Linked DNA regions of Xenopus tropicalis. The protein of the gene in region 2 purifies or fractionates together with the protein of the main gene of each other region. This does not show direct contact. Links are inferred from orthologs where the notes say so. Each region holds a gene or a part of one and is shown on either strand. Other genes may lie near its edges.

The links.
Region 1: the proteins of arid1b (region 2) and smarcd2 purify together in Homo sapiens (affinity purification with mass spectrometry; 5 studies listed by BioGRID and IntAct, with this or other methods). This does not show direct contact. The link is inferred for Xenopus tropicalis from reciprocal best matches to the Homo sapiens genes ARID1B and SMARCD2.
Region 3: the proteins of arid1b (region 2) and ss18 purify together in Homo sapiens (affinity purification with mass spectrometry; 4 studies listed by BioGRID and IntAct, counting the BioPlex papers as one, with this or other methods). This does not show direct contact. The link is inferred for Xenopus tropicalis from reciprocal best matches to the Homo sapiens genes ARID1B and SS18.

Annotation. Positions count from the first base shown.
Region 1 is NC_030686.2:15,735,611-15,746,408, forward strand, and holds the start of smarcd2 (SWI/SNF-related matrix-associated actin-dependent regulator of chromatin subfamily D member 2), read right to left. Parts: upstream 7,103-10,798; 5' UTR 7,071-7,102; intron 6,232-7,070; 5' UTR 6,185-6,231; coding exon 6,083-6,184; intron 257-6,082; coding exon 75-256; intron 1-74. UniProt on the Homo sapiens protein: Involved in transcriptional activation and repression of select genes by chromatin remodeling (alteration of DNA-nucleosome topology).
Region 2 is NC_030681.2:52,282,678-52,293,044, reverse strand, and holds part of arid1b (AT-rich interactive domain-containing protein 1B), read right to left. Parts: intron 8,203-10,367; coding exon 8,093-8,202; intron 7,411-8,092; coding exon 7,252-7,410; intron 4,660-7,251; coding exon 4,450-4,659; intron 2,861-4,449; coding exon 2,656-2,860; intron 1-2,655. UniProt on the Homo sapiens protein: Involved in transcriptional activation and repression of select genes by chromatin remodeling (alteration of DNA-nucleosome topology).
Region 3 is NC_030682.2:110,343,882-110,354,737, forward strand, and holds the start of ss18 (protein SSXT), read right to left. Parts: upstream 5,970-10,856; coding exon 5,901-5,969; intron 2,902-5,900; coding exon 2,825-2,901; intron 1,295-2,824; coding exon 1,210-1,294; intron 212-1,209; coding exon 58-211; intron 1-57. UniProt on the Homo sapiens protein: Appears to function synergistically with RBM14 as a transcriptional coactivator. Isoform 1 and isoform 2 function in nuclear receptor coactivation. Isoform 1 and isoform 2 function in general transcriptional coactivation.

The DNA.
Region 1 (10,798 bases), on a different chromosome or scaffold from region 2:
TCCATTGTTTGATTGAAATAATACAGACATTGATATTTTAGTTTTCTATCATTCTCTTGGTTCAAGCTACTTACCCCCTACGATGGCTCGGCCCAGGGTGTCCTGATGGGGTGAGCAGCCTCTTCCTAAATGGCTCCATAATCATTGGATTCATGGCAGGTCTCATAGGAGAACCCCCACCATATGGAGGAAGCATGGGGGAGCCCATATGCATGCCAGGCATTGGCATTCGGGAGCCTGGAAGCATACCTGGTCTCTGGAAAGAAGCAAATTTGAGGGAATAAATCTCATGAGGAATAAGTAAGGATATACATGTTTCTAAAGGAAAAGTACCAGAAAGCACTTTTCTGTAATTGCTCTCCAGGGGTTATTTCTACTCAGTCAGATACAGAAACAGGTAAATTGCTGTAAATAGATGTGCATACTATAGCTATGAATACACCTTATCCAGACAGGCATAACCTGTATTAAAGCTGTACAGTTTCCATTTATATTCCTAGGTTAACACAACAAATTGTGCCCCACCAAATATGAATATGACAAAGGGGGTATACCAAAACTCCCCCCCCCCCATGTAAAAGAAGTATTGTAACATGGTGACTGTAACAACAGTAAGGATAATAGCCTCTGGGAACGCATTGTGGCTGTGGGATAGCAGGAATAGTAGGGAGAGATGGTGCCTATAGTAACAGTGGGGGGATAATAGCCTCTGGGAAGGGACTGTGGCTGTGGGATAGCAGGTATAGTAGGGAGAGATGGTGCCTATAGTAGCAGTGGGATAATAGCCTCTGGGAAGGGACTGTGGCTGTGGGATAGCAGGTATAGTAGGGAGAGATGGTGCCTATAGTAGCAGTGGGGGATAATAGCCTCTGGGAAGGGACTGGGGCTGTGGGATAGCAGGTATAGTAGGGAGAGATGGTGCCTATAGTAGCAGTGGGATAATAGCCTCTGGGAAGGGATTGGGGCTGTGGGATAGCAGGTATAGTAGGGAGAGATGGTGCCTATAGTAGCAGTGGGATAATAGCCTCTGGGAAGGGACTGTGGCTGTGGGATAGCAGGTATAGTAGGGAGAGATGGTGCCTATAGTAGCAGTGGGGGATAATAGCCTCTGGGAAGGGACTGTGGCTGTGGGATAGCAGGTATAATAGGGAGAGATGGTGCCTATAGTAGCAGTGGGATAATAGCCTCTGGGAAGGGACTGGGGCTGTGGGATAGCAGGTATAGTAGGGAGAGATGGTGCCTATAGTAGCAGTGGGGGGATAATAGCCTCTGGGAAGGGACTGGGGCTGTGGGATAGCAGGTATAGTAGAGAGAGATAGTGCCTATAGTAGCAGTGGGGATAATAGCCTCTGGGAAGGGACTGGGGCTGTGGGATAGCAGGTATAGTAGGGAGAAATGGTGTCTATAGTAGTGGTGGGGATACTAGGACTAAGGGCAGTAGGAGAGCAGGTACTGGCAGCCAGGGAAATAAAGATAAGGATAAGCTGCCTCAGTTCCTGGCACATTCAGTAATAGTGTGCCCTGCCCCTAGGGTGTGAGTCACAGCGCGGTGGCACCAGTGGCCCTTGTATGGCAGCAATTCTACTCTCCTCGAAACCCGATCTATAGAAATAGGTATTATATCCTGATTGTAAAATGAATCAACACTCTATTATTCAAAGGGGCATAGCCAGTTGGCAGCCACCTTAATAGGATTAAATTGCCAGTTGGGCATTTACCAAGCGGACACAATTAATCTTTGAGCATATGGAGAGTAAAACTTAATACAGGCAGAATTTCATTTGTTCTAGCCGTTTCATTGTTGGCAGATGCTGGAAGTTGTAGTTTTATTCAGACATTCATTTTGCACTGATAGTACATACTGGGGCATGATTAACTAAGCTGTGGGAAATCTCTCCAATCAGCGACTATACACATCCTACAGGCGTTGTTTGTACAGAGGTTTGCCCATACACCTCCCCCTCTGCACCTTTCTGCTGCCTATTCAGACCTCCCTTTGTATCCCCTCCACCTTAATCCCCCGCTTCTCCCACCCCCTCCAGGTGCCCAGAGTTACTGCCTCACCTAGCCTGAAAGACAAGTTTCCTCCCTCAAGCCTGCGCAGTGCATGCTGGGAAACGGCTGTTCCACCAGTGTTACTAATGTGGGAGTGCTGCCGAGCATGACTGCAAACACACAAGTCGCTCTATACACAGAAAGAGGAACGGGCTATTTCTTTTGCATTATGCTATCTTCATACTCCAGCAACTCCTGCCCCGTCCCACCCAAACTGTCTTTTCATCAGTCATAAGTGGGTCACGGGGGTCAGAAGAGAAAGTTGAACACAGTCCAGAGAAGGATGCAGCCACTCAGGGCCGCCGCTCCCTATAAGCAGAGTACTCAGTCTGCATAGGGCACCAACTCCCAGGGGGGCACCATCCCAGCTGCTCAAAAAAATCGTTTTTATATATTATAACATACCCCCCCAACACTGTCCCACCGGTTTTTATAGCGCATCCCGCGGTCCCGGATAGTTCAATCAATCTATGGGGGCAATTGGGGGCACTTACTATGGGGGCATTGTCTATGGGGGCACGGTGTATGGGGCCCCTATAGTAGGTGTTTTTTTTTTTATTATTTTATTTTTACTTCCGTAATATTTGGGGGAGGGGGCACAAAAGTAAATTTCTGCTTAGGGCACCCATTTGGCCAGCAGCGGCCCTGCAGCCACTAAACAGTGATGGCATCTATCTACTCTCTGCACTGCTGGTTCTGACTCCTGAAACAATATAGCACAAGCCAGCTGATTAGCAGAACTGGAAAAGAATGGATGTCTGCTACATTTTTTCCCCAGAGTCAAAACCAGAGGACAGACTGATAGTGCTTTTGATAGCATTTACAATACACATAACTTTCATATATAGTTACATAGGGTTGAAAAAAGACCAGAGTCCATCAAGTTCAACCCATCCAAGTAAACCCAGCACACACAACCCACACCTACCAATCTATACACTCACATACATAAACTATATATACAACCACTAGTACTAACTGTAGATATTAGTATCACAATAGCCTTGGATATTCTGCTTGTTCAAGAACTCATCCAGGCCCCTCTTAAAGGCATTAACAGAATCTGCCATTACCACATCTCTAGGAAGGGCATTCCCCAACCTCACTGCCCTCACCGTGAGGAACCCCCTACGCTGCTTCAAATGGAAGCTCCGTTCCTCTAATCTAAAGGGGGGACCTCTGGTGCGCTGATTGTTTTTATGGGAAAAAAGAACATCCCCCAACTGCCTATAATCCCCTCTAATGTACTTGTACAGAGTAATCATGTCCCCTTGCAAGTGCCTCAAACCATTAAACATTTTTTTTAATGAATGTATATTGGAAAGTTGCTTAAAATTATATTAAGCAACATTTTTATTTTTGGATTTACATCCCCTTTAACTTCCTGTTAGGCGGTTTAGCAGCCAACTGCCTGCCATGCCTGGAATAGACAACCATTGGCTTGTTGGGTCCATTTTAATCCGTACTGCAGGGAGCCGTTTAGATTGTGGTTTGGCAGCGACAGCAGTAAACAGAGCAAGATAAATGGGGGAGGCTGAGAGAGTAAAGACAGGAAAAAAACAACACAAAAGCGAGGGAGGAAGGAGCCACGGTGAAGCCTGGATGTAAGAAGTAGCACGGTCGCAAAGAGCAGCCGCTGTGAGATCTATGCATTTCTATAACCACTATCCTCGGAGCACTGCTGTTAAAAACACATCAACCACGGCAGATCTTTGAAAGGACCCTGATACTTGGCTAAGCAGCCAATCACTGTGACCCTTTCCACAATGTCAGTGGTGAAGTTGTAGGGTGGGTTACCTACCTGCAGGCCCCATTCCTGCCAAAGCAGCCGAATAACACAGTTTCCCTGCCCAGAGTGACCAGGAATGCCCTAAAGTTGTTGCCGAACTATGGAGCCTCCATGAGAGAGGGCACAGGGCACTCTACCTACCCCAATGTGCTTTATTTTATACAGTCCTAATTTTTCTTCAAAAGAATCTAAAGTGGCACCATTTAAATTTACTTTTCTGTGGCCATAAGGCCATAAAGTACAAGCCCTGAAATGAACGATTTCCCCCTTTTTAACTCGTAGCCACTGGCAGAAATGAATATTTAAGGCTACAATGTTCAGGTACTTATTGTACAGCACTGTGGAATATGTTGGCGCTTTATAAATAAATGTTAATAATAATATTATTAACCCTCACAATGGATCCATCAGTGACAGGGGTCAGCAGGCACAGTCTATGTTATAGATTGCCACTTCTGGTCCTCATTACCTCATATTAATAGGTCACTATGGATCTTTATCTTAAAATTAGATTAAAAGGGCTGAAATTAAATGAGACTGAGAAAACCTGACAATCATAAAGGCCATTCAATTTAAAATTAAAAGTAGAGGTCAGTAGAATGCCCCACATCTGCCAGTGGTGACCTGTACTACAATGCACCGCATCTACCAATTGTGAACTGTTCTAGAGTGCACCACATTTGGAAGTGCTGACATGTTCTAGAATGCCTCACATCTGCCAGTGCTGACCTGTTCTAGAATGCACCACATTTGGAAGTGCGGACATGTTCTAGAATGCCCCACATCTGCCAGTGCTGACCTGTTCTAGAATGCACCACATTTGGAAGTGCGGACATGTTCTAGAATGCCCCACACTACCAATGGTGAACTATACTAGAATGCACCACACTACCAATGGTGAACTATACTAGAATGCACCACACTACCAATGGTGAACTATACTAGAATGCACCACACTACCAATGGTGAACTATACTAGAATGCACCACATCTACCAATGGTGAACTGTACAAGAATGCACCACATCTACCAATGGTATCAGGTGCCAGTGATGAACTATACTTGCATGTACCTCACTGACAGAGAGTGAACTTAACTGTGTTGTACCACACTGACTGGTGTTGAACTAGACCTGAACATACCACATTCCTAGGCAGTGAACTCTACCAGAATAGACCATCCTAAAGTGATCTATACCAGCATGCACAACACTGAAAGGCAGTGAATGATACCAGTTCAACCATACTCCAAACAACCAGTGATGAACTATACCAAACTGTACCACACTGATCAACAGCAAACTCGGACCATGCCATTTGCTGGTGAACTATACCAATATGTATGAAAATGAAAAATTAAAAAGGAGTGAACGATACCAGAACACACCACAGTGACATGCAGTGAAAAGACAATTATAAAGTGAAGTAGATTTAAATCAACTGATCAGTTGTTTACCATGATATGCACCATTGTATAAAATGTAGGATTACTATTATTATATTATTCTTGGAATGGTTACACAAGCCATCCTAGATTATCTAGGCCCTGCTTAGCAACCATCAAGGCCTTATCTATACTCTCCTCCTGCCTACCTGGGACCATAATGATGTGCACTGATTGTCACATGAAGATGTTATGTCTCATTTTTCACAATTACACAAAGAATTTAGAAAGATACTGGATGAAAGTGAAACATCCACAGTCTTTATTTACACCAACGACTTTACCTTTGGATTGTACAACTGCGATGCAATTCAATAGGTCACCTGAGCTGTAACTGAACATGACTGCTTCAGATCACAATTGCATCCGAAAAATGCTCTAGAAATATTAGATCAAGGGCCTGGTGTGCTACACAAGTCACAAATCAGTCAGCTCAACATTTAGTCGCATTTAGTCTGATTTGGAAACCAGAAGTAGCAGCTTGCCAGTAGCACAGTCAATGTGCAATTCTATAGATGCAAGCGTTCTGTGCACTAGTGCCTGACTTTGGATGCAGCTATGGCATATAAAACACAATCATGCTTCAGGCGTAAATCATTTTCATGCCATTGGATTCTGCTAGTCACATGCTACAAACGGGCATGTGATAGTCAGGCACTATTAACAGACCCAGCAACTTGGACCTACTGACTCTGCCCAATTAAAACTGGATAAACAATGTTCTAAATTCTAAATGAAGTGATCTAGCACAGGGAAGATGGAAATGCACAATACATTGCTATTGGAAATGGTTACCTGGTAAGGCCCCATTGGGGGTCTGTATGCTCCAGGGTTTGGTCCCCGCATCATGTTCATTGGGCTCCCAGATGGTAGAGGTAATCCTCCCCGAGAGGTCATGGAGTGTTAAACAGCAGACAGCACTACTGTGCACAGGTGAAGGAATGCTGTGTATATACAAGAGGGATATACTCTGTGTGAACAACCTCCTTCCTAATGAATCATATAATGTAGAATTCCTAATTATGCAGCCCTGCACTGCGTGCGTTGGCTAGTTGCGCAGCCCTGCACTGCGTGCGTTGGCTAGTTGCGCAGCCCCGCACTGTGTGCGTTGGCTAGTTGCGCAGCCCCGCACTGCGTGCGTTGGCTAGTTGCGCAGCCCCGCACTGCGTGCGTTGGCTAGTTGCGCAGCCCCGCACTGCGTGCATTGGCTAGTTGCGCAGCCCCGCACTGCGTGCGTTGGCTAGTTGCGCAGCCCCGCAAAGTGTGCGTTGGCTAGTTGCACAGCCTTGAACTGCATGTGTTGGCTAGTTGTGCAGTCTTGGCTGTGTGTGTTGGCTACTTGTGCAGCCCCGCAAAGTGTGTGTTGGCTAGTTTGTTTGCACTTTGACTTTTAAACAATTTTAACGATATATCTTCAATAAATTTTTGATAAAACATTGAAGGGTGTGCTGGCCACAGATGATTATTTTCTGTATATACATAATTTTGGCTATGCACCCCGCAGAATATTGAGCCTTGGAGTGCGGACACCATTTGGATTGATATATATATATATATATATATATATATACACACACGCACATTTTATACATAAATTGTGTGTATATATTTATCCTCTACGTGTTGCCCTATTCAGTTATACAAGCTTATAGAGTTCGTGTTAGTATCAGTACTATGCCTATCAGACTGTAGCCCTGTGTGCCCGTAGCAGTAACACGCGTGTAAGCCCGGCGCTAAGTACAGCACAAAGCCGCTATCCTACAGCTAGTCCAGCACTACTAACCGGATTCCCCAGTGAAACCCAGCGGGGTTCAGCCTCTCTCCGTATAATTGTGCCCGTACAGCTGCTCTCAATGCGCAATCCCTGCGCTGCGATCCTCCGGCTGTAGTTTCCCGGGGCGCAAACCGAGCGCTCAGCACTTTCCCCTTCCTGCTGCTGTCGGGCGGCTCATAGGAAGTTATTGGAAGGTTTTTCTGTTGGTGTCATCACTTCCAGAGAGCTGTTTTGCAACAAACCTCCTTTTCTCATCTCTGCCCTCCCACTGCCTTCCCTCCCCTCCCCTCCTCCTGTGTCTCTCCTCCCTCTGTTTCTCTTCCCCTCCTCCCCTTGTCATCTGCCCTTTCTCTTTCGTCTTTGCCAGCCCTCCTCTACCTGTACCCACCCCCTCTTACCCGTGCTCACTCTCCTTGCCTGCCCTCTCTTACTTGTACCCACCCTCTCTTACCTGCACTCCCTCTCTCTGCCTGCCCTCTCTCACCTGTATCCACCCTCTCTTACCTGCACTAACTGTCTCTGCCTGCCCTCTCTCACCTGTATCCACCCTCTCTTACCTGCACTAACTGTCTCTGCCTGCCCTCTCTCACCTGTATCCACCCTCTCTTACCCGCACTCCCTCTCTCTGCCTGCCCTCTCTTACCTGTACCCACCCTCTCTTACCCGCACTCCCTCTCTCTGCCTGCCCTCTCTCACCTGCACTAACTGTCTCTGCCTGCCCTCTCTTACTTGTACCCACCCTCTCTCACCTGTACCCACCCTCTCTTACCCGCACTCCCTCTCTCTGCCTGCCCTCTCTCACCTGTATCCACCCTCTCTTACTGTCTCTGCCTGCCCTCTCTCACCTGTACCCACCCTCTCTTAGCCACACTCATTCTCTCTGCCTGCCCTCTCTTACTGTCTCTGCCTGCCCTCTCTCACCTTTACCCACCCTCTCTTAGCCACACTCTCTCTGCCTGTCCTCTCTCACCTGTACCCACCCTCTCTTACCTGCACTAACTCTACCTGCCCTCTCTTACCTGCACTCACTCTCTCTACCTGCCCTCTCTTACCTGCACTCACTCTCTCTACCTGCCCTCTCTTACCTGCACTCACTCTCTCTGCCTGCCCTCCCTTACCTGTACTCACCCTCGCTGCCTTCCTGTCCTACCTGTGCCACCTTCTCTGTCAGCACTACTCTACTTGTGCCCACTCTGCCTTTTCCTACCAGTTCCACTCCCTTTGCCCTTCCCCTCTGTACCTGTGCCACCCCTGCCCTTTTCTATATGTGCACACCCTGCTACCCCAACCCTAGCTCTGCCTTGCCTTGCCTACCTGTGCCCATCCTCTCTCTGCCTCCTTCTACCTGTGCCTGCCCACTCTGCCATCTCCTTGCTGTACTCTCTACCTTCCAATGCCAACATTCTCTGCCTGCCTTTCTTTCCTTTTCCCACCCACTTTGCATACACTTTCTTACAACCACCCTCCTTATCTGCCTACCTGTACCCATACTGCCCTTTCCTACCTATGCCCACCTTCTCTGCTTGACCCTTCCTACCATCATCTGTGCCTGCCCACTCTGCCATCTCCTTGCTGTACTCTCTACCTTCCAATGCCAACATTCTCTGCCTGCCTTTCTTTCCTTTTCCCACCCACTTTGCATACACTTTCTTACAACCACCCTCCTTATCTGCCTACCTGTACCCATACTGCCCTTTCCTACCTATGCCCACCCATTCTCTGCCAGCCTTCTCCTGCCTCCCTCTGTTAATTCTTTACTGCCCACTCACACCTTTTCTATTATTCCTCTCCAATCTGTTTCCACCCTCACTTTGTACACTGCATTCACATTTATTCCAGACCCATTTTCTCCTCTTTCCTGGCCTTCTACCCACCCCCATTTGCCCTCTCCCTATCTCCTCCCTTTCCCTGCCCTCTTACTTACTAATTCACAGAATTCCATCCCCTAATTGCTCTTCCATGTGCTCTGCAGACTTTGAGCTGTTCCTTTTCTTCTTTCTTTCATGCCTGCCCTGCCTGCCCCTCCTCCCCCTCTGCCCCTGGGCTACATGCCTCTTGTGTTTCCCCTCATTATACTGCGTGTAGGACATGTGCCTTGCTCTGGGCTCATTCCCCATCACACTACATACTGGGTAACTTTACATATTGCCTTTAGGAAGCTCTAAGTTAATATTTTACTGAGGAGAAAAAAGTAAGTGGTTTGGCAAAATGAATCCTGGTAACCACACTGTAGCACACACAAACACACCTTTACCTGCCTGCGTGCAAGAACTCGTACAGTGACTTTTACAGACACAGATTAACCACCAATGTGCTATTTGCAACCTTTCAGCTGTTATTCAGCCACAATTGCAGGCAGCTGCCACTGCCTTTGGATGTTGGAGCATCTATGGCTGGCTGAAGGTGCCCCCTGGGAACTGTATGAAAATGAAGGTCTTGCTCAACTGTATGGCTCTGTGCCAGTGGGGTCAGACTCAGAGCATGTTTCTGTCCTCAGGATTAAAAGGTCATGTGGCTCAATAAGACTGCATTTTAGGGTCTGTGCTTCATGTGAGCAATCTGTCACTGCCATAGGCATGCATTCCTGCTGTTGGAAATTCTACAGGCCAAGACCCACATGGGCTCATCCCTTATCTAATTTTCTTTTGTAAAACTCAACGTGAGCCCTGGAGGGCATCTGCACTCTAGCTCTGTTTCTAGTCACATTTCATCCTAGGACACTGGGCTACATACTGTACTGAGGCTTATCCACTATTAGGCTGCAGTGCATGAATGTCCTACATTTAGTTACTTGTGTTAGTTCAAAGGTAGTGCCATATTGCTCACCATTCATGGGGGACTGTATTGCACACTTGGACTATGGCTGAATGCAAAGGGGAAAAGCTGCTAACTGAGCCCGGAACTGCCACTTATGGTGCCACTGTTGTCTTCAAGCTCATGGTCAGAAGCCTGGTGAGGGCAGCCACCATATTGGTGAAGTCCCTGGTATTGTTAAAACAGTGCAAGGTGATGCACCCACAAGAGATTTATCTGCACATCAAACACATTTACTTAAATCCAAATCACATTGTTACAGTGTGACAGTACCCAAGTGTGCCATGCGTGCACAATCCTCTCAGCCAGCTATTGTGTAAAAGTGCAACCCACGTGGAAATGTAGTAGTGTTAGCCAAAACGACACATTGCTTTGTTTTGCAGACGCTGATAATAACCAGAAGAGGTCTCCGAGGTGGTGGTGGGGGCGATTCTAAGCACCCAGCCTCCCTCCCCCACACTAGGTAATTCATTCAGATCATAGACAGAGCTTTTCATGAAAATAGGTGAGAAACTGACTGCCTCATGTGTGTGCCATGGATTCTGCCATGGGCACAGAATAGCTTGCAAAGAAATGCCCTTTATTGTCAGACACTGCTTTTATCTTCTGCAGTAAGATACACGCTCGGGTCAGGCCTAGGGGGGTCCTGTGTCTTCTTCCAGAGCAAAAACTCTGAATTCCATTTACACCCATTTCCTCTGTTTATAAAGATGACTTTTTTAGTAGCGGCAAAGACACACGGAAATGATCATTCCCTGGCCCCAGGTTTTACTAGTGCTTTGCCAATGTAATTTTGCTATAGAAAGCAGCATCTGTCTGTCCCTTTCTGAAACAGTGTAGCAGAGCAGTTCTCATCCAGGCTGGCTTTGCTTATATTGTTTTTAGGAGCCATAACCAACCGACAAATGCTGCTTTTATTTGCA
Region 2 (10,367 bases):
CCAGGGACTGAGAAAAGACAAGGCAGTCTCCCAGACAGTAGGTTAATATCTGGCAAGAGATGATATGCATACCTACTGGCTGCAGTCTGAGGCGCACACTATAAAGTAAACAAAGGAGAGGTTATTAGAGGTTAAGTGCAGTGCATTTCTCAGAGTGAGCAGCCAGCACCACGCTGGGAAGATAATTTACACAGCATGAACCTACTGGCCTAATTCTGGCTGAGGTAGAGGGATAGGGTGGGGTGGGAGGAAATTGCAAGCGCCCAAACACGTCACTAGTTTTGCTCTGAGCAGAGGTCAGAATGAGGACATCTTTGTTTACTAAAGCAGGGAAGCCCATGAACAACCCCCTCCCTCCTCTGTGGGGATTCCCTGTTGGCTTCTGGACAGATTCTGTGACATCACCTGTCAGCTAATAATAGCAAAATCAGCCCGTTTCATGCCTGCAAAGATTAATGGTTTTTGTAAGCTTGCTGATTAGGGCCAGGCTCTCAGCTGTGCTTGGATTGGTCTCTTTTATTCCCTTTTCTGAAAGCCTACTCAGTGGAATTCGCTTTGATGACTGGGCTTATATCTCTGAAGCGAGGCTATTATTTATGTAGGAAAATGCTATGGCAACTTTGCAAATGTAAAAATGGAAAGATTTACTGGGTTTTTGACATGGACCCATTTGTATGGAATACAGATAAGCGGTGAGGATCTGTAAATTAGTAAATGTAGAAACTGTGCATCTACGTCACACCCTGCCTTCTGAGTGTCCATAGTGGGGTTTCCAAATGCAGTGGTGTCTAATAGCATTAAAGGATCGCTGTCATGGGAAAACATCAGTTAATAGAGCTTCTCCAACAGAATCCTGCATTGAAATTCGTTTTTCAAAAACACAAAGATTTTTTTATTTTTAATTTCACATAAGTCTAGCCATATTCTTCATTTCCCAGAGTGCCACAACGATGTGCTCTGATAAATTTCAGTCACACTTTACTGCTGAGCTGCAAGTTGGAGTGATATCACCCCCTCCCCCCAGCAGCCAATCAGCAGAACAATAGGAAGGTAGCAAGATAGCAGCTCCCTGGCACCTGTATTGCTAAAAGTGGTAGATATCAGAACAGCACTCAATAGTAAGAAATCCAAGTCCGGCTTGCAGCTCCCCCAGTTACATGGGAATAGAAGAAACAAAAGGTTATCTGAAAGCAGTTCTAATGTGTAGAGCTGGCTCCTTCTGAAAGCTCAGACTCAGCCTACACACCAATATTACAACTAAAAAAAATAATATATAATATATGAATAGTACCATAAAAATCATGACAGAATCCGTTTAAATGCTCTCCCAAATTCATTTCAGCTTGCAAAATCGCGATTTCGTCTTCATTTATACACTGCTGAAATTGAACTGGGTTAGGCATGGGCACATGGATTAACAGTAGGTGGGTGGGTCTGAAAGGTGTGGGGCAGCGAATTGGGGCTAGGGTGCTGTGCTTTGTTGTTTAATTGGTCAGGCCTAACCTGCAGATATCTTGGCAGTGGGAGATGAATAAGTAGACCTTTTTAAACATACAGTATCACACTTTTGAGTGCTCTATTGAGTTGCATATTACATTATAGGTAAAGTAGCATTGTACGTAGAAGCTGTGTTGGTGCACAACTAATACTCTCTCAGAAGTAAGTGGTTGCAAATGTGAAATAGATAATCTTGAAGCTACACCCTGCTTACTTTAGTGTCCTAGATTGGTACTTTAGGCTTTTTAAGTGTTTTATCTTTTGATCATCCCCTCAGCGATGTGCCTTTTAGGATTGTGAATAAATATAACTTTTTTTTTTTTTTTATAAGTGCACTAAAATCTTAAACTTATAAATACTCACCAAACCAGGATGAGCATCATTCGATGTGTGGGTTGCCAGACATAGCTCTGAAGATGACACACTATAGATGAAACCATATTCAGGCAAACTATTTGTAGGCTGTAGAACATAGGAGCTATCGCTCACGCTTTTTTAGAAATTTTTTTTTTTTTTTTCATTTTTTAATTTAACATTTTCTGTCAGCTCAATATTATGTTGTGTGTGCACAGGTCAGAATTTGTGTGTAAACAAGTGCACAGGTCAGACTTTGTGTGTAAACAAGAGCACAGCTTAGAGGGATAGTGGTGGAATGAAAATAAAGGTATGGTCATGGCCCAAGACAAAATGGAACAGCAAAAGCACTTCCACGCCATGATCCAATCGATCATCAGTCTGTTGTCCATATCCATGTTAATAACTTCACACTGAAGTGAACCATAATCATTTAGATGCATTTAGCATATCAATTTCATCAAGAAACTGTGCTGATTTATGCAGTAAATTCCTTGCTTACAGTGGATCCCTGAACAGACCTTTAATTGGCATCTGATTGTACCAATTAATTCCTAAAATCCTCCATAAAACACATGAATTGAGAAGAAGTGGGACAATGAACAGCTTTTACGCTCAAGATAACTGAACCAGACTACATTTTTGTTGTTTTCTTGCTAAAAAAATGTTTTGTTTTTCAAAAAATGCCCAGCCATATATTCCTGTCATGGGGTGGGTAGAGGTTTCATGGGAATTATAACTGGACATGATTTCAGCTGCTGCTGTGGCACTTGAGGTAGAACTGGATGCATTCCTTTTGCTTACCAGGAGATGGCGGCTGAATCTTAGGCTGCTTCTTTGACTCTCCAGGATTGAAAATCTCTGGAGGTGGCTCCTCCCCTCTCTCAATCTTGCATTCAAAGGCAAACAGATACTGTATGTACTGCTTTTTCAAGGAGCTGGCTGCACTGCTAGAGGTGCCAACATTCAGATTGCTTGACAGCTCTCGCCACTTCTTGTTTTTATTAACCTACAATAAAAAGAACATTATTGCGGTTAAGCACATGGTTCTGTAATCAGCAGAGGGGGTAAGGAAGAAAGCATATAGGTTATTCTGTGGTTTATCTCCCTATATTTTCTTAATATGCCTCTTTTAACTAACGCTCATTACTCCCACTCAGGGGGCGCACTGCCGCACACTTGCAGTTATAAAGCTATTAAAGAACCTGCTGATAGCAAATAAATAAATAAATATAAAAAAAGGCATCTGAGGCTTGTGAATGCTGCATCCCCTAATGCTGAGCACTTTACATTAGAGACATGCATGGAGCCAGCAATTTGCATCCCAGTAAAGTACAAGAGCATGGAAACGCTCACGCGCTCCTGATTCAATTAAAACAGGCCTTGCTGCTAAGAACTCATTTAAAAAACAATAAAAATAAGAGCAACTGTGTTATTCCACAATTTAGTATTATTGTGGGAGCTGTAAATGCGGAAAGAAAATATGTTTATTTTCAGAAAGCTCCAAGGGTGTATGTGCCAGGATGCCGATGTCTCTGTAGTGGAAACGATCTGCTGTGCTGCTTATGACTGGGTTAACACTTCATACAGACACCCAGGGGAATTTCTCAGCAAAGCCACTGATTTTTTTTTCTTTTTTTCAGGGATTATGAGATAATGTAAAATAATTCATTTTGGAGTATCGTGATGTATGTGAAGCACCTAGCGGTGTAAAAATGAATACAAGTATATTTAAATGGATGCCACAAGAGCAGGTACAGTAGTATTTTCAGAAATGAAGACATGGGGAATGTCATTAACGTGAAATTATTCTCAACGTGAATAATTATTCCTTTGCGTAAATAAATTTTTTCTTTGCACAAATTTACTATAGCTTTTGTGAACCTGGGAATTATTGTGATTATTTTGTTTGCACCAAGGATACACTGCCTGTAAGTAGGCCTTTATATTTATCCCACAATGTAATAGAGGTCTAATGAAGTTTATTACATTGTGGAATGAGGATTTTTCTTATTTATGCAAATTATTTTTTGGTTAACAACTTTTATTATCCCTTATGTTTGCCAACAGAGTGATTCTGGTCCCTGAGCCGCTCTGTACTAGAAGAGCTGTTTTTTTGTGTCCCCTGGAAACCTGCAGGGCATTACTGCCTAAGGTAAGATTCTCAACTCAGCAATACCCCTGCCAAATGTAGACTCATATGAAATGAATCTGAATTCTTACAATTAATTACTTAATAACAGTGCCATAGAGTTTACAGCAATAACCGTGGTAAATTGTAGAAAAATGCTATAAAAGTAGGATGCTAGTATTCTTTTTGCGTAACCACATGAGCAATTGGTGATGTAAATTATGAATGTGCACATTTGTATATTTATGTTCATGTATTCTATATGTAGTTGATACATATTTCTGAAAAAAAATATTCCTCACAAGCTGGAAAACAGGCGTTTAAATTAAGTGGACCATTTTAATACACCTCAAGTGATTCTCCTATTCAGTTTGTTCCATGATTTAAGAAACTGGTAAATTCACATACCTGTAAGTGGCAGACAAAGCATTATGCCATTACAATAATCATCAATTAAGTTGTATTACCTGAGCTAAACCGCCAATCTCTTTAACACAAAAGTACAGCCTGACAAGGTCAAGAGGTTTTTTTCCAACTGCAGGCAGATTTGCAACAGGAGTGCCTCGTTCCTCCATGAAGGTCAAGTACCGATCCACCCACATCTTCCTCTCTGGCTCATTTCCTAATTCATAAAGTTTTGTGATTTTTTCTCCAGTGGTTGTTGAAGAACTTGCTTTCTGCAGCATACAAAAGAGGGACAGAATATTAACATAGTCGCAGATAACTTAATACGAATATCTAGGCACACACCTTAATATGGCGTTTCTCAGACTGGTTAATGAATTCATATTTCACCTATTACATTAAAAATTGGTCTATAAATTTTCTGAACCACGACCTTCATTTTCATTACAAGTGCAATTCATGGTGTTTGAAAGGGTTATTGGCACTGTCTATACAATTCTTGTTTTTAAAATTTAATTAATTATCATCATCAATGGTTCTACATGGATGCCATATGGTCAATTGTTTTACATAGCTTCAGAAAACCCTGTGCATACCTTATATAACTACAGACAGTACAAACGTTATTTTATCAAGTTTGCCTTTGCAAGCAAAGCTTTGTGGTGCTTAATGTAAATTATATATAACATAAGAAAGACACAAAAAAGATGGTTGTGATATACAGATAAAATATCAGATTATCTTTTGGGTCAAATCAACAGCATGAGGGTGCCTGTAAGTAAAGGCTGCAGGACTAGGTAACTGGATCACTTTTATGCAAGAATAAGGAAATTGAGATGATATTTTTCAGAAAGTAAAGATATTCCTTTGCCCACATAATAAAGAAACAAATAACAAAGAATACAAATCTTAAAGCAAATACAAAATCATCTATCAACTGATTAAGCATATCAAGATTTCTTTAAAAAAAACAGGTGCTTTTATGAAATTAGGTAAAGTTGGTCAAAATAATAAAAGCAAGGTACAGCAAGTAAGAATCTGGAATGTTGTCTATAAAAAAAAAGCTATTGCATCACTGACTACTAGCTCCTCATTTAATCCTGTGTGGTAAGGTGTGCTTTTACTACAGTAAATAATTAACCTTGCAAGATACAAATTGAACTCTGAAAAACTGTAATGTTAAAAGTCTCCACTTAAAAAGAAGATTCTTCTGGTGGTGTGGTCAGATTTCTTCCTTCAGGCTGCAGCTTGTGGGAAAGTTTAAAGTAGAAAAATGGAGCAAAACAGTTTAGAAAATTAGATAATCAAAGGCTGGAAATGTCTCACGTCTGTAGAGAAAGTTGGACATTTTCTAAACAACATACGGTAATGCTGCAGTATTGTTCAGTTCTGCAACATTATGGAATGATATCACCCCAAATCATTTATAAGCGCTGTAAAAGAAGACATTAGAAGATGTATTTCAGATTGCCAAGAAAGGCCAATGGGCTGCCAGAGTCTGAAAAACTCTAGTAGGTCAGTTCAGGGAGGGAACTGAGCTATCTGGAGCGAACATAGCTACAGACATGCTCAGCACATTACAAGGCACTCCTAAGGTGCACATGAGCAGTCCAGACAGCAGCCTCCATCACACCAGTACAGGAAAGATAGTGGAACATTGCATTCCCAGACCAACAGCATTAGATTAGAAGAATGTATCAGTACCAGAGCAGGAAAAATTACATTTACTGACTCAGGTCATAGGTTGGGGGGCTGCTGTGCACAATATATGGGTGATAATACATTACATTTCCTTTTTCTTTAATTCATTACTTAGGTAATTATAAAAAAAAAACTGTACATGGCTCTGGGTAAGAATGTTTGCTTATGCAGACCCAGGAAACTTTTTTGAACCATCATATATAAGCACACTAAGCTCTGACAACACTGAGATTTCTTTATAGGCTTTGTAAACAACATGACTTAATTAGATTTTTATATACTGGTAATCCTCCACATTAAATGTGTCATTATGTAGTAAGTGGTTATTTGATCTTAAAAAAAACAAAAATCTACAAGCACGCCATACCAGCAAGATAAGAAAACTGTATTCTGTCACGCAGAATTGGACTTGCATGCCAGGAGGAGAGTAAAACCTTTCTTACTGGCCCACGCAGCAGGATTTTAGCTGCCATTTTCCTTCATGTTACAAGGTCCTGGTATGACTCTGTTTCACAGAAATTAAGTGTACTTCTTTTGAATCCCCCTGTAAATTTTTCTAATCACAGTACAGCTTACCCCCATGAATGTCCAGAACCCAGCAGCAAGGAGGAAAGTAGCTTTGAAGGGAGTGACCATTTGCCTGTCCAACATCTATGTGTCTTTAAACTCTGGGTGTCTCTGTGTCATTTAATACTGGAAGTTTTTGTGTCTTTAAATGCTGGGAATCTCTGTGTCATTTAATGTTGATAGTCGTCGTGTCATTTAATTTGATAAGTTAAGGAGAGTCACACAATTTATAGCAGAGCTCCATGGAAATCTATTAGAGGATGTCACTTCCAGCAAACGGTCAACTGGTCAGTTCTGGTTAGCACTATTCATTTTGTAGGTCGATAGTAGTACACCTTGACATTAGGTTTTCTGGTCAGCCCATTGTGACATAGTCCGCAACACAGGTATCAGCTTATGTAGATTCATTAAGCATAGTAGATTTGGAAGATTTGGAATACGAGTGGGTGTGCAACAAGTGTAAGTGCCATAAATTGAAATTAAAGAAAAACAACATAAAACAATAACAAAACAGATAACTACTGTTTAGCCAACAGCATGCAAACAATAATTAAAATCTATTTAAAATATTGAATAAACATAACATGGCCACTTACAGGGCTTGATGGAGTCTTTGGCCAGCCTGGGCTGCTAATGCTATCACTTTCATCTCCATGAAAGGAGGAGATGCTAGCAGAGCTTGGGGACAATGGGGAAGGGACTGTCAGGAGGCCTGGGGTTGGGGGCTGAGAATTACCCTGTGAACTGTAGCTATCCTGCGGTAGAAGAATACAAAACAAAATATGACAAGAATAGGGCAAACTTTACTGAAATGTAATATAATCAAGTGGCAGTGCAGTATAGTTGCATGTATGGAGAGAAACAGGTAAAAAGGCAAGCATATAAAATGCATTAACTCAAAATTGTTAATTTGATCGTTAGATATTAGTGCATTTGGCAAGTCTGCCATTTGCTTGGTAAAAAGGAAATAGGTCACCATGTTTATTTCAAGCAAACATGAAATGCTTAAGCATGGACTGCACCCTAATGAAACAATAACAAGTAAAGCCACTCGCCTTATGCCTCATGTAAGACGCAAAGCAAAATACTAAGTATGCCTATGATGGAGGTGCTGTATAGACGGCCAACAACAGAAGCTTGAACTGAAGGCAAGAAGGGGTAAATGGCTGCAGTTTGAAAACCAGGCACAAAAGTCTTTCCCCAACCCCACACTGGATATCCCCAAGCTCAAATATCTCTACTGTATTCTCTAAAGTTAAATGCATTTAGACTAGTAATGTTTAGGTTTATGGAGTATAGACATGTACAGACCCGCAAAACAAATAGGATGGAAGAGGCGTGCAGGAAACAAACCAAAGAAGGCTGGCTAGAATCAGACGATGAAAGACAATATGGCTGACACTGCTTGGCCATAACACCACATGCAGTTGGAAATACCTTTGACTTAGTTTCAGGTGGAGCAGGTGAATCTGCTTTACCATCAAGTTTGAGAGTTGATGCCATCTTAGATTCTCCAGTATTTATCATGTCAACAAGACCAAGGTGACCTAAAAAATAAAAAAGGAATAGCAATAATAAGGTCTCAGTGGTGCTTCAACAAATTACTACAGAGAACATACAAGAGACTACAAGAGAACATTGGCGCTATATAAATGCTTAATAAACTTGACCAAAAAACAGGTGGCAAATTGTAAGGACACAGGCATGCATTTACACAACCTTCCTTGCACCAAAGAGCCCTGGGCCCTTTAACTAACGCACCAAATCGCATAATGCTATTATAGTTAAGCACAAGTAAGTAAATGTCTTTTGACAATTAAGTTTAATGGCCCAGTTTTGTGCCTAAAGCTAGTAAATTAACACTTAGAACTGTTGGGAAATTTACCACATTGTGGTGCTCCAGCAAATGAGTGCTGTGGCATCACATTAGCTAACAACCTGTGGACTTTGGAAAGAAAACATACTTAGCACAATTCATCAATGAACAGCAATTGACAGGGCAAGTCACAGGCATATGAATGTTGGGGATATGGATATGACTTTAGTACACTCTATTTAATGTTCAAAAAACTAAAAGTTGCCATGTTATTACATATATATTTATATTATAAATACATAAAAATGCAGGGATTATCCAATATGAGCTGATAATACCTATATTGACAGAGCAAAAGCTTTTGAGCTTTTTACAGATCAGAAAAAAGGCATCTCAGGAAGCCAAATCGAAAAATAATTGAACATTACTACACAGATTGCCTTCTATAAAGTAATACAGCACATATTCATGTATTTCTTTGTTTTTAAAAATAATTAGTTTTAATTACAGCAATGAGAGCATGTGCAGGACTCTTGTGAATAAGCTGGCAAGCAGTACAGTGCTAATTTGTTAATATCTGTAGCATCGCTGCAGGTTCAGAAGAGCCCATGTCTGCCAAATTACCATCTATACACCATTGTGCTATGTACATTTACAATTATTTGCTGTTCACTGGGTAGGAAAACAATTTAAGCTTATTGATGTGAGATATCATATCTACTAAACTATCCTTATGTACATTCTATTGTCTGGTGACTACAATAATATAATATATCAAATTATAATAAAATAGTATACAATGAACATTACAATTAAACAGTTTAACGATTACTAAAATTAATATGATTCCATTTGTGGTACTTATTTTATCATTTTCCATTTTAAAAGTCTGTTGCACTAAACCAAAGTTATACAGATATAAAATTCCAATTTTTTTTTTTTTAAATTAATCCTTAATCCATTTTTGACTCCTTCACCTCAGAGAAGAACAGCATTATCATGCTGGTCCCGTTATGTTGCACCTTTAGTCTCCATTTTGAGTTGGGGCAGTATGAGTTTCCAATTGGCTGGAAATACTTCAGCCAATTCCAGCCTTATAGAACTTTCGTAATTAGTCTGTTTGTTTGATAAACAGCTGTTAACAATGTCAAGGTATGACATTTCATGAAAAAGTCCTATGTAACAGACGGAAAGCATCCAGTGTGTGCAAATTGTTAGAAGTGGAACCAGCCTATCACTGCACACACAAAGTGGATTTTGGCCACAAAATGCAAACAAGCATTTACAAAAAAAAAAAAATCTAAAGCTTATTGGTAGATATTATATTTTTACACTTTGTTTGGCTTCTGTGGTTAACTGTTCAAGCCAACTTAAAGCTTTTCATTTTTACACTATTACCATGAAAAACATTTAATCCAGTCATGGTCAAAAATCATGTAGAAATACTGAGTCACTAGATTTTGTAGATGTATTGGTGCGCATGACATTTACATTAAAAACTGCATATAGAGAGAATAATGACATGTTCCTTTCTGGCTCTTACTGAATATTATCCCCTTTGCCATTAAATATTCAGGCATAACCCTGTAGTAAATGATGTACACTTTTTATAAAAACATTTTGTAAAAACAGTGACAACTCTATTCTGCGGTAAAAATAATGTGTGAAAAGACTTTACAGCAGTACAACGCAGTAAGTAAATAATACAAAAGATGGGACATGGTATTCACAACCCAGATTTTATACTAATTCTCGCATGGGTACATGAGTAGATCTACATTTGGACAGGTGGAACAGGTGCCACAAGGTATTTTTCCATTAAATAGAATCACAAAACTAGCAAAAAAGAAAGGAAAACAATTAAACAAAGTCAGTCTTCAATTAAAGCAGATCAGT
Region 3 (10,856 bases), on a different chromosome or scaffold from region 2:
ACGACGTTCAGTTGCTAAGCAACCTTGGTGTTAATACCTTAGAGAAGAAAATCTTACCAGGCATCTGGCCGTTCATCTGGTTCTGCATGTGCGGTGCAGACGGACCCCCTCCTACCATCCCTTCTGAAGGCATGTTGTGAGCGCGTGGTGGTTGTGGAGGGCCACTCTGATTCATCCCTGCTGGACCCATAGGCATATTTTGTGTAGGAAGCTTAAGCAAAGATGAAAAAAAAAATCAATACTGGTATATGAATCACTATATAATTTTCCTGCCTTCACTCTGTCATGTATTTAACACAGCAGTTTATATTCTCCAAAACTAAATAAAAATAAATGCCTCACCATAAATGCGCTAACAGAATAGCGCATGCAAATAGCTACAACTGAAATCCTACACTTTTGCACTGTTTTAATTCAGGACACATTAATTGGCCCATGCTACCCAAATATAAACTTAAATAAAGTGTCTTATGTGAAATAAAGCCCAAACTAAACTAAAGACACTAGAACTTGTCTTTTCTCAGGAATCAGTCCTTGTATGACAGCATGCCCTTTACATGTGTGCATTTAGCAGTGTTAAAAACATGCATCTTATTTCTTCTAAAGGATAAGTAAGCCTTTTATTTTAGAATCCAATAAAAATACTCTAAGCAGCCCACAAATAACATACTATTTTTCAGCTACTTCATACTCCAGCGTGAAGCTCCATCCCCTTTTCTTTTTTGCCCCAGCTTCTCTGACTGTGAAGACGGTTTAAGAGGCATCTAACGTGCATGCTTGCTGCCTCTGCTCCAACGAAAATCAATCAGGCACGTGAAAGTCTTCACAGTCAAAGAAAGAAGGAGAGCTCAGAACAGAAAAGGGGGCAGAAATTCACGCTAGACTAGGAAATAGCTTAAATGAGCTGCAAAAATGAAATGAGACTGAATGCAGGAAGGTAGATGCTATTCTGGGCACTAATCTGGGGTAATTTGAGAAGAAAAAAAAAAAGGTTTACTTATTCCTTAATGGTTTTCTCTAGCTAGTTCTACCCCTAAAGAATGGTATTAAATATGTCTGAACCCTAGTAATGCATTCTGTACAATTCCATCTATTTTTTAGGAAAGTGTGAGTTATTACCTTACTATTTGCAAGAATGCACTGGGTAAGGTATTTTTAACTAAATAGATTTAACTAGATTTTCCTCTGGCCCAAAATGAAAATACTTACTGCTGACAATAAAGGTTGGGTATTCTGATTCGAATCTGCTATTGTGGCCAAGTATACTAAGTTTGTATGCAGCATCTGTTGATATCTGTTTAAAAAATGAAAAAAATATGGAAAAAAACTACAATGCCATTTATTTAAAAAACTAAAAATCAATCAATCCATGAATATAACAATTCAAAAACTATAAAGCATGCATATTTTCAAGAATATTCGGAACCCGGGACTTTCTGTAATTCTGAGCTTTACAGATGTTATGTCCATTCTATGCCCTCAGTTTGTCGGCAGCTCTTAATCGGTCTGTGTATGGTGAGTAGGGATCTACCAAACCCAGGGTTCGGCCAAATCCCAAAATACTGGATTTGGTGCATCCCTAGTACGAATGGCCCCCTGACTATTCATATGTGTAAAGATGGTTGGCATACTATCTCAGCAATATGCTCTACATGCAGACTTTGTGCTAAGTCCTGCATATAGCAAGACAGGTCGTTGAGTGAAGGTTTGTGGGGAGCACTGATTTTAAACAGTACAGAATTTGTAATTAATAATATTGATAAATGTTCTGTCCTTGAGATGAAGCTTATATAAATTCTTAATATAAAAATAATATCAGCACCCCATCAACAGTAGGCAAAGCAAATGTAAAGCTGTACTCAAAAAAACAAGACAAAAGAAAACCACCATGGTTAGGCCTTAAGAAATTATTTAGTGTTGCCCTACACATACAGACAGATACTAGATAATAAGTTATAATAAATTATATATGCAAGTAACCCATCAAAACGAATATGAAGATTATACACTGTATTAGGAGAAACACACAATTGTTTTATATGGAAAATTAGATGCCAGACGTGAAGAAAACTTTAATCTCATATGATAGGAAAAAGCACATGAAATGCAGCTGTTACTTGTTGTGCCTGGGACATACATACACAATCCTACCAGGACATTAAGAAACAGCTGGGGTTGCTGAAAATTCTGCTAAAAGACAGTACTGGCAAAACCCATGAACTGGGCTCTATTATTATTTTTTTTTTTTTTTTTCAGCAACCCCATTGGTTTCTGAATATGTATGTCCCAGGCACATTAAGTAATAGCTGTAATTTATGGCCTTCTTCACATCTGGCATCTAACTGCTCACTACAGGTACAGGATCCCTTATCCGAAAACCAGCTATCCAGAAAGTTCCGAATTGCGGAAAGGCCATCTCCCATAGACTCCATTATAAGAAAATAATTCTAATTTTTGAAAATGATTTCCTTTTTCTCTGTAATAATAAAACAGTTCCTTGTATTTGATCCCAACTAAGATATAATTAATCCTTATTGAAGGCAAAACAATCCTATTGGGTTTAAATGACGTTTAAATGATTTTTTAGCAGACATAAGGCATTAAGATCGAAATTACGGAAAGATCCCTTATCTGGAATGCCCCGGGTCCCGAGCATTCTGGATAACAGGTCCTATACCTGTATATGAAAACATGATATTGTTATAAGTATTAGTAACCATATACAAAATTTCAAAAACAACCTACTGTCAAAGTACAGAGACCTCTATATAGGTATAAACAATTTAGTGCCACACTGTGAAAGAGAGAATTATATTATACATACTGGGAACATTCTGAGGTTTTTCCTTTGTTCTGATAATCCATTATGCATTGTATTAGATGGTTATTTTCATCCAGCATCTGAAAATTAAAAAAAAAAAAAAAATTTGAAAAATAACTGACTGATCAGTTAAAAAGCATTCTGTACTACAAAATTAATATACAAGATTAAGGTTAGTGTCAAAATGAGAATGTTAAATAGTGCTTTGGCATCATTTCAACACTTCCAACATCCAGATGCACTTTGTTCACCTTTTGGATGCCAATTAGTTCACCTTCCATTCATGTCACTAGTGGTGACTGGCAAATTCCCTTAGGGTGAAGACACATGGAGCTTCTAGTAGCAGCTACTTTTTCACAGATACTAATCGCCAGAAAATACACTGCCAAAAAAGGGTTAGCTTAGTATACACCCAATGTGCAATAGGCCAAAGAGTCATAATTTATCTACTTAAAAGGAGAAAGAAAGGTAAAAACTAAGTAAGCTTTATCAGAAAGGTCTATGTAAATACAGCCATAAGCACTCAAAGAAATGCTGCACTGACTTCTCTGTCAAAAGATTTCTTGTGTCTGTAATTCATATGCCAGAGACACACAGCTCTCTGCTGTCTCCTCTCTCCTGCTCCCCCCTCCTTCAAGTATGCTAAGAACTCACTCCTCCCTTAAGAATGTGGATCTGAGCCAATCAGCAGGAAGCTCACTCATACTCTTACTAACTGAGCATGTTCACTTGGTCTGGGTGTCTGTGCAGGAGTGAGGCATAATGGGAACTTTCTTTACACAGCTCAGTGTTTTTTCTTCCTGTTTGGCTTCTGATCATCTAACAGGTGAAATATGGGGAGACTTAAGGGCACTATTTAGAGAACTGAATGTATGCCTGCAGCTTGAGATTAACTCTTTATTAGCCTTTCCTTCTCCTTTAAAAATAATGTGCTTTAGAACCAATAAAGAAACCCTGTGCATAAGAACTATTGGCAGCCTTTGATTAGTGATACCAATGAAAGTGACACTGCCATGTTCTTGTGCAATGAAAGACTTAGGTTATGGTGGTCAAAAACACAAGAATGTAACCCACTTATGATTTCCTTAGTTAAAGCATGTTTCCCCTTATGTGTATGGGCAAGGGACAAAGCTAATCTCTTACATGCTGGAGTACTGACCTAACTGCATATCGTTGCTTAATTTTATAGCACCAACAATGCACACTATATTTTACAAAAATAAATGAAAAAGCAAGGTCTCTAGCCTCTCAGAACCTTGTATAGCCATGTCAAGCTCTCAGCAGGAACATACAGGACAACCATAGGAATCATGCGGCAGAAAGGTACATTGTGCTGCACTGAGGGGGGAGACAGCACTGTAGAATTTTTGAAGCTATCCAAAATATTCATAGCCATTTAGCTTTGATAATCTTGAAAAATATGTATATATATATATATATATATATATATATATATATATATATATTTACCCTGTACAGTTAGAAACACAAATGTAACTAAAAATTAACAGTATCATATGAAATGCCAAGCACAAGAATCAGAATATATTTATTTTACATATTTCTCTGTGACAACGACTTCATAGAATATCTACTACATGAAACAGTACTTACAGATATACCTGGAGAACTGTGAAGTGTAGTGGCCTTTAATGGCCTGGGCCTACAGCTAAAAGCCATCATGGCTGCTCACTCAGACACAAACACTGTATAAAGGGGTTCCTGTGCAATAGTGTTATTCCAATATGAGAGTGAAATTTTGTAGGAGTCAATGCAAACAAAGTACCAGTCACAAACAAAAACTCTGGTTCAAAACCAACAGCTATGAACAAGGGAGCCAAAAAACAAAAGTAACCTTTTGCCTACTTAAAATAGAATTTTAGCCAGATTATAAATATTGATAATTTTAAACTGATTTCTTAAAAATAATTACAACTGAATGCAATAACAGCCTGTCCTTTGCTGTTCTTCCCACTTTTACAGCAGCCATACATGGTTGAATCAACACAGTATCCCCCTGATACAAGGGGCCAAACACATTAGGGCAGCCTATTATTCTGTTCAGGACATAACTCCATTTTACTTTTCCTCCTCATCAGCACGTACATCCCGCACCTGCTGATATGCTTGTGTCTCAACCCTTTCTCCTTGTAGATTGTAAGCTCTTTTGGGCAGGGCCCTCTTCACCTCTTGTATCGGTTATTGATTGCTTTATATGTTACTCTGTATGTCCATGTATGTAACCCACTTATTGTACAGCGCTGCGGAATATGTTGGCGCTTTATAAATAAATGTTAATGTAATGTAATATGCTGTATTTGCAGATACATTTCCAAACCTGTCTGACACAAAATGACCAATATCCACAGTACATAAATATCTGTCGGGACCATAAGCCCCCAAATGTACTGAAAAGCATTTCACTACGTGCATGGCCATCTTTACTGCTGGCTCTGATTTCTCATACAATGTTGCAGAAGCTAGATTTCAATTTCAACAATGTCTTGCACTTTTTTTTTTTTCTAAGTCTGTTAATTAGCTGCATCTTCTAATTTGTTTCAGTAGTCGGAACAAACAGTACGGAGACATTGGAGATATTGTGTTCGATAGTATTTGCATCGAAGAATAATGCACTGAAAAACTGTAACAAACGTACATTGAAAAGTTGCTTAGAACAGATTTTAATGATCTTTAATGAACCTCTTTAGGGTGGCTGTTAATCCCCAGTGGCCCAGATACAGTACAGATAAAATGGCTCACCAATTTGGCTCTGCTGACACGTTTATGTGCCTTTTTTTGTCCTTACACCTACAGTGACCTTCCTTGGTAATATAACTGATGATAAAAGCTCCAGATACCTTGTCTATGGTTAAACCCAGGCACATACAATATGTTTGTGGCACTTTGCCATTTATTAATCGATAGCATTTAAGTAGAACAGTAAGGACTCCCCACCCCCGTACACTGCCCCCCAGCCTTAGAAAGCACTACACCAGTGCAGTTGGGGGAATTCCCTCCCGGCAGAAGGGCACGACTAAGCAGTTGCATTGAACGTATTTTTTAATATCGGCGCGGTTACCTTTTGAATGGCCGCAGGAGTGATCTCCCCCTTCCCCCGCTGCCTGGGAGCCGCGAAAGCTACAGACATGATACACGAGCTAAAGAAAACAAAGGGAGCGAAGTGTAGGCACGAAGCGTCTCTAAAGGGAAAGACTGGCGAAATCTGGAACGGACTTCCCACTGCCGCTCTCACACACCGCGAGATTCCAGCAAGCGACTCAACAACATCCTAGGGGGGGGGGGTGCGGAAACAAACAGGCAAGCATTTACTCCATACAGGCAACATATATCTAAGAGGCCCTTAAGGGAAGCTCAGACTTGTGTAACTTCTTAATAATAACAACAACAGAATAATCAACGAAGACATAAAATAAACGCTATAACTTCCCAGTCTACCAATACACCCCTGTAAATACAGAAAGGTCTCGCCCAAAAGTTTATACCATAATCCTTTGCGAAAAGAAAAGCAGGAAATGGACAGTTTCTTCCAAATCGTACGTTGTTAAAAACAATCGAGCGAGGATATCCATGTACCGTTACAGTTGAGGGGTTATGTTAAACGTCTATGTTACCCTTAGTAAATGGCTATCGCTATTTTAAGTACCAGCTAATATAACATTCCCCTCGTTTGAGATAATGGTACGACCCATCGGTCAATTCCATATTACCTATTGGCGGGTATGGCTTGCAAAGAAACTAAGGTGGGCTATAGTTTTCTTATTATAACTCGCAGAACTATAATGATACATGGCGTGTAAACTGAAGCGAAGCGACCCTCACTGAGATACAGGGGTTTTGCCCTTCTCAATGATGAAGAAGAATGAACTTCCCAGAAGTTAGGTATTGACACGTGATGAGCTATAAACACGTGTCTTGCAGTGTTTGGCCCCTTGGAATCAGCGATTGGCTGACTTTCTGCTATAAACAATACCGCGAAGTCGATTTTGAGGGCGGGAGTTGCATTTTCAAAGAAACCCTGAATTTGCTGCAAGTTAGTTACAGCAGCTTTACATACTCTCGTTCAATGTTTAACGTTTGTTTTATAATAAAGTATGTATTAAAGTCTCTTTTCCGTCTTTTTTTTTTTTGTTAATGCGAGGTAGAGAGAGAGAGAGTTGTAAAGATTCGGCACTCACCAGTATGGGGCACAGGCTGGGTGCTGACAGAAATAATGCATCAAACTCAACAGTAGAAAGTTTCAGCATACCATCTACGCGTTTCGATCACCACAGGATCGTCATCAGGATGAAACGCGTAGATGGTATGCTGAAATAAATCACTGACCTGATTGATGCTGTAGCTGTGAGTGCTTTCTACTGTTCAGTTATATATATATATATATATATATATATATATACTTTTTAACTTTTTTATACTTTATCATTTTCTGAATAACATAACACAAATTTTGTACAATGCACAAAGGTAAGAAGTCAGTTTGTGCTGTATATTTTACATTATATCACTGCTGGGACAGAAAATTGGCCACAGCCACCTCATAAGAACGCCAGTGTAGAAATATTGTAACTTAGGTTACCCCAAAGTGCCTCTATCACAGTGCTCTAAGACAAAGTATTATTAGCACTCATTTATAAAGTGTCAACACATTCCACAGTGCTGGACAGCAAAAACACTCGCTCCTAAAAAGATAGAGGCGTAGGGGACTTATCTGATGAGCTAAGTTGTCCCTGGTGAAGAGGGGAGAGTTTAGGGTAGCTCCAGTATGTAATGTAGATCCAGTCTAGGAGCATTTACGTAGTAGGAATGTCCCTAGTGCCAGGCAGAGTCAGAGAGGAGTGTTTGCACATCTGGGAGTGTGTAGGCTCCATCCAGATCCATGCTGAGAGCTTGAAATCTAAGATGAGGTTCTGTAGCAACACTCTATACTGAGGACATATATTGGCGTTAGTAACCCAGTGGGTGTGTAATTTACTAGAGGTGAAGGGCCCTAAGTCAGACATTGTAATAATGACTGTATATCATCACTGTGTCAAGAACCATTATATAACTGTTTTGCTATTGTGTTTAAGGTTCACTTTAGGTCAGGCACCTAACCTGAACCATCAGGAACAGATTGGATAGACACATGGATGGGTGGCACAAACATCTTTAATATTGTCAAGAGATGTTGAGACACTGAGTCTGATGGTACTCTGTACTTAAATTGTGCTTCTGTGTAGGATGGAAAGGTGGCCTTATTAAAGATATTGAAAACCTACCAGAACAGAGAACACACATGTAAAGTATAATTTAGAGCTATCTTATTCTTGCCCTAAGCACCATATATACTGATCTTTTTCATTGGTCTTCCACTTGAGTGTGACTCATGCCTACTGCATAGACAGACAGATGGAATTTCAAGAGGGTTCAGAGATAGCAATGCACAAGTTATTTGAGGCATCATTATTTATAACAGGAACTTTTTTCTCTAAACCCAAATGTCAGAATGATTTTTTATTTCATACTGTTAAGCTTTTTTATTTCTATAACCACTCACTATAAGCATGATTACAATAAACCAACAAAATTCCTAGATGTAACCAGCATCTCAGCTTCTGTCTGGAAATTGCAATTCCCCATACACTGCCTCCCATTTATTTACTTAAAGTGGACCTGTCACCCAAACATAAAAAGCTGTATAATAAAAGCCCTTTTCAAATTAAACAAGAGACCCAAAATCATTTTTTTATTACCACATCCATACCTATTATAAAAGCATTTAAAAATCCCAGCTGTCAGTCATATATTGCCTGCCCCGCCTCTATGCCTTAGAGGTGTGGCAGACAGTTACTTTCACTTTCAATTCAGAACTTCTTAGATGTTGCTGCACCCCTCACATTCCCCCTCCCTCCTCACCATGTAATTTTGTAACCAGTGCATGGACATGGGCATTAGGTCCCTCCATACTGGCACAGAAACCAGATATTGGCAGAATGCAATGCCTGCTTTGATAACAGTGTCCACAAAATGGCCCCTGCCTGCATGCTGCAATTGAGAACTCCAAGGCTGAAGAAACTAAGATTAAAATAATTTATATAGTGTAAGTAAATTTTGCTTGAAAACCACAATAGAAAACATTTTGGAATTATTTCTTAAGGTGACAGGTCCGCTTTAACAGACTAAAGAGTTGATAGATTGACCATCATAGACTGCCACAAAAGTAATAAAATTGGTAACTGTAAAAGATTGCTGGCCCTGACCCTTTGTATACAATCTGCTTATCCATGTATTAGTTTAGCTGAAAACCTAAGCACTGGCAAATATATGATTATAGCACACACTACAAGGTAGTACTCTTTATTCATGTACAATGTACAGCTTCAGAATGAGATTCAAAACAGGCCAAGAAATAGACACTGTCTATGGCATCTTCTGGCCCCTCTGGTATTTACCAGAATCTACAGATTGCCAGTGAGCACCTAACTATGTAACATGCATAGTGATGCAATGATGGGTGCTGTATAATGTTCTTCACCAGCAGCAACAACCCCTGGAATGTCAAACACATAAAGGGGCAGAATACCCCCATGAGTTCAATGGATAGAATTTGTGCTGAAACGCCATTATCCAAGGACCAAACATGGAGTATCTTCAGTTCTTTGTTTAGCTCAAGAATCATACACTTTTGGTGATTAAAATAATATGCAAAAACTATCTTCTGCTCATGTCCTATTAAATGAACTGCTGTTGAGAAAGAGGTATGTTACCCTTTCTTGGCACTAATATCCAGCGCCACACTGGGGCACTAACAGGATAGAGCCTCCACTAAATGGAAGTTTTGGGGGGGTTTGGAAAGGTTAAGTGCCTCCACCCAGGGCTAAAACCAGGTACTGGTGACCATACACCTCCCTGCAAGAGCAGTGCAACAACAGTGATTAGTATAGCCCAGGGGTCCTCAAACTTTTTAAACAGGGGGACAGTTCATGGTCCCTCAGACTGTTGGGGGGGCCGGATTATGGTTAATCCTCAAACTACGGCCCCTGCTGCAACCTCACCCCTGGCTACTACCTGTCTGCCTCAGCATGGTTCTCAGCCCCAGCACAGTCATTAGAATTGCCCGGTGGGACGCGGTGGCGTGGCCAAGAACCATGCTGAGGCAGACAGGTAGTAACCAGGGATGAAGACACATCGGGGGCCGGGTAAATGACCATGGAGGGACTGTATTGGGCCCACAGGCCGTAGTTTGAAGACCCCTGGTATAAATAGTGTGCCTTTTTCCTATATAGGCCCTTAGAGTTGTGAATAAAGAAAGATGGAGGCCCCTTGTCTGTGGGGCAGCTGTAGCAGGTTGTTTTTTTGCATAAGCGGCTGAATAGGATTGTGAAAAAAGTCAAGAATGCTGAAAGATTAAGATGTTTGAATCATCGCCTGTGAGACCAACCTGAAGGCATGGGCTCCGATGCTCATGTGTCCAAGGCTTTTGCCAATAAACAGCATGTGTGGGCAGATCCACCTTCGCCGAAGCTAGGGTGAGAACCACCAAGTCTTGGCCTAGGGTCAAGCCCAGAGGACTATGACACCTATCCAGGATGCACAAAAAGGGTGCTGAAGTGTGCAGGTGCAATGCCATTAAAGGAGAAAGAAAGGTAAAAACTAAGTAAGCTTTATCAGAAAGGTCTATGTAAATACAGCCATAAGCACTCACAGAAACGCTGCACTGACTTCGCTGAAAAAAGATTAGTTGTGTCTGTAATTCCTGCGCCAGAGACAAGCAGCTTTCTGTTCTCTTCTCTTTCCTGCTTCCCCCTCCCTCAAGAATGCTAAGAACTCAGATGTGGATCTGAGCCAATCAGCAGGAAGCTGACTCATAGTCTAACTATGTGCAGACCCAGTGTGTTGGAAGCGCATGAAAAATAAAAAATAAAAATACAAAATGTGCAATATGTATAAAAAAAAAAAATAGTCCTGCTGCAGTACAGGCTACTTACAGTATCTGGATAAGAACAAAATGTATCACAAACAGCTCTACGTGTTT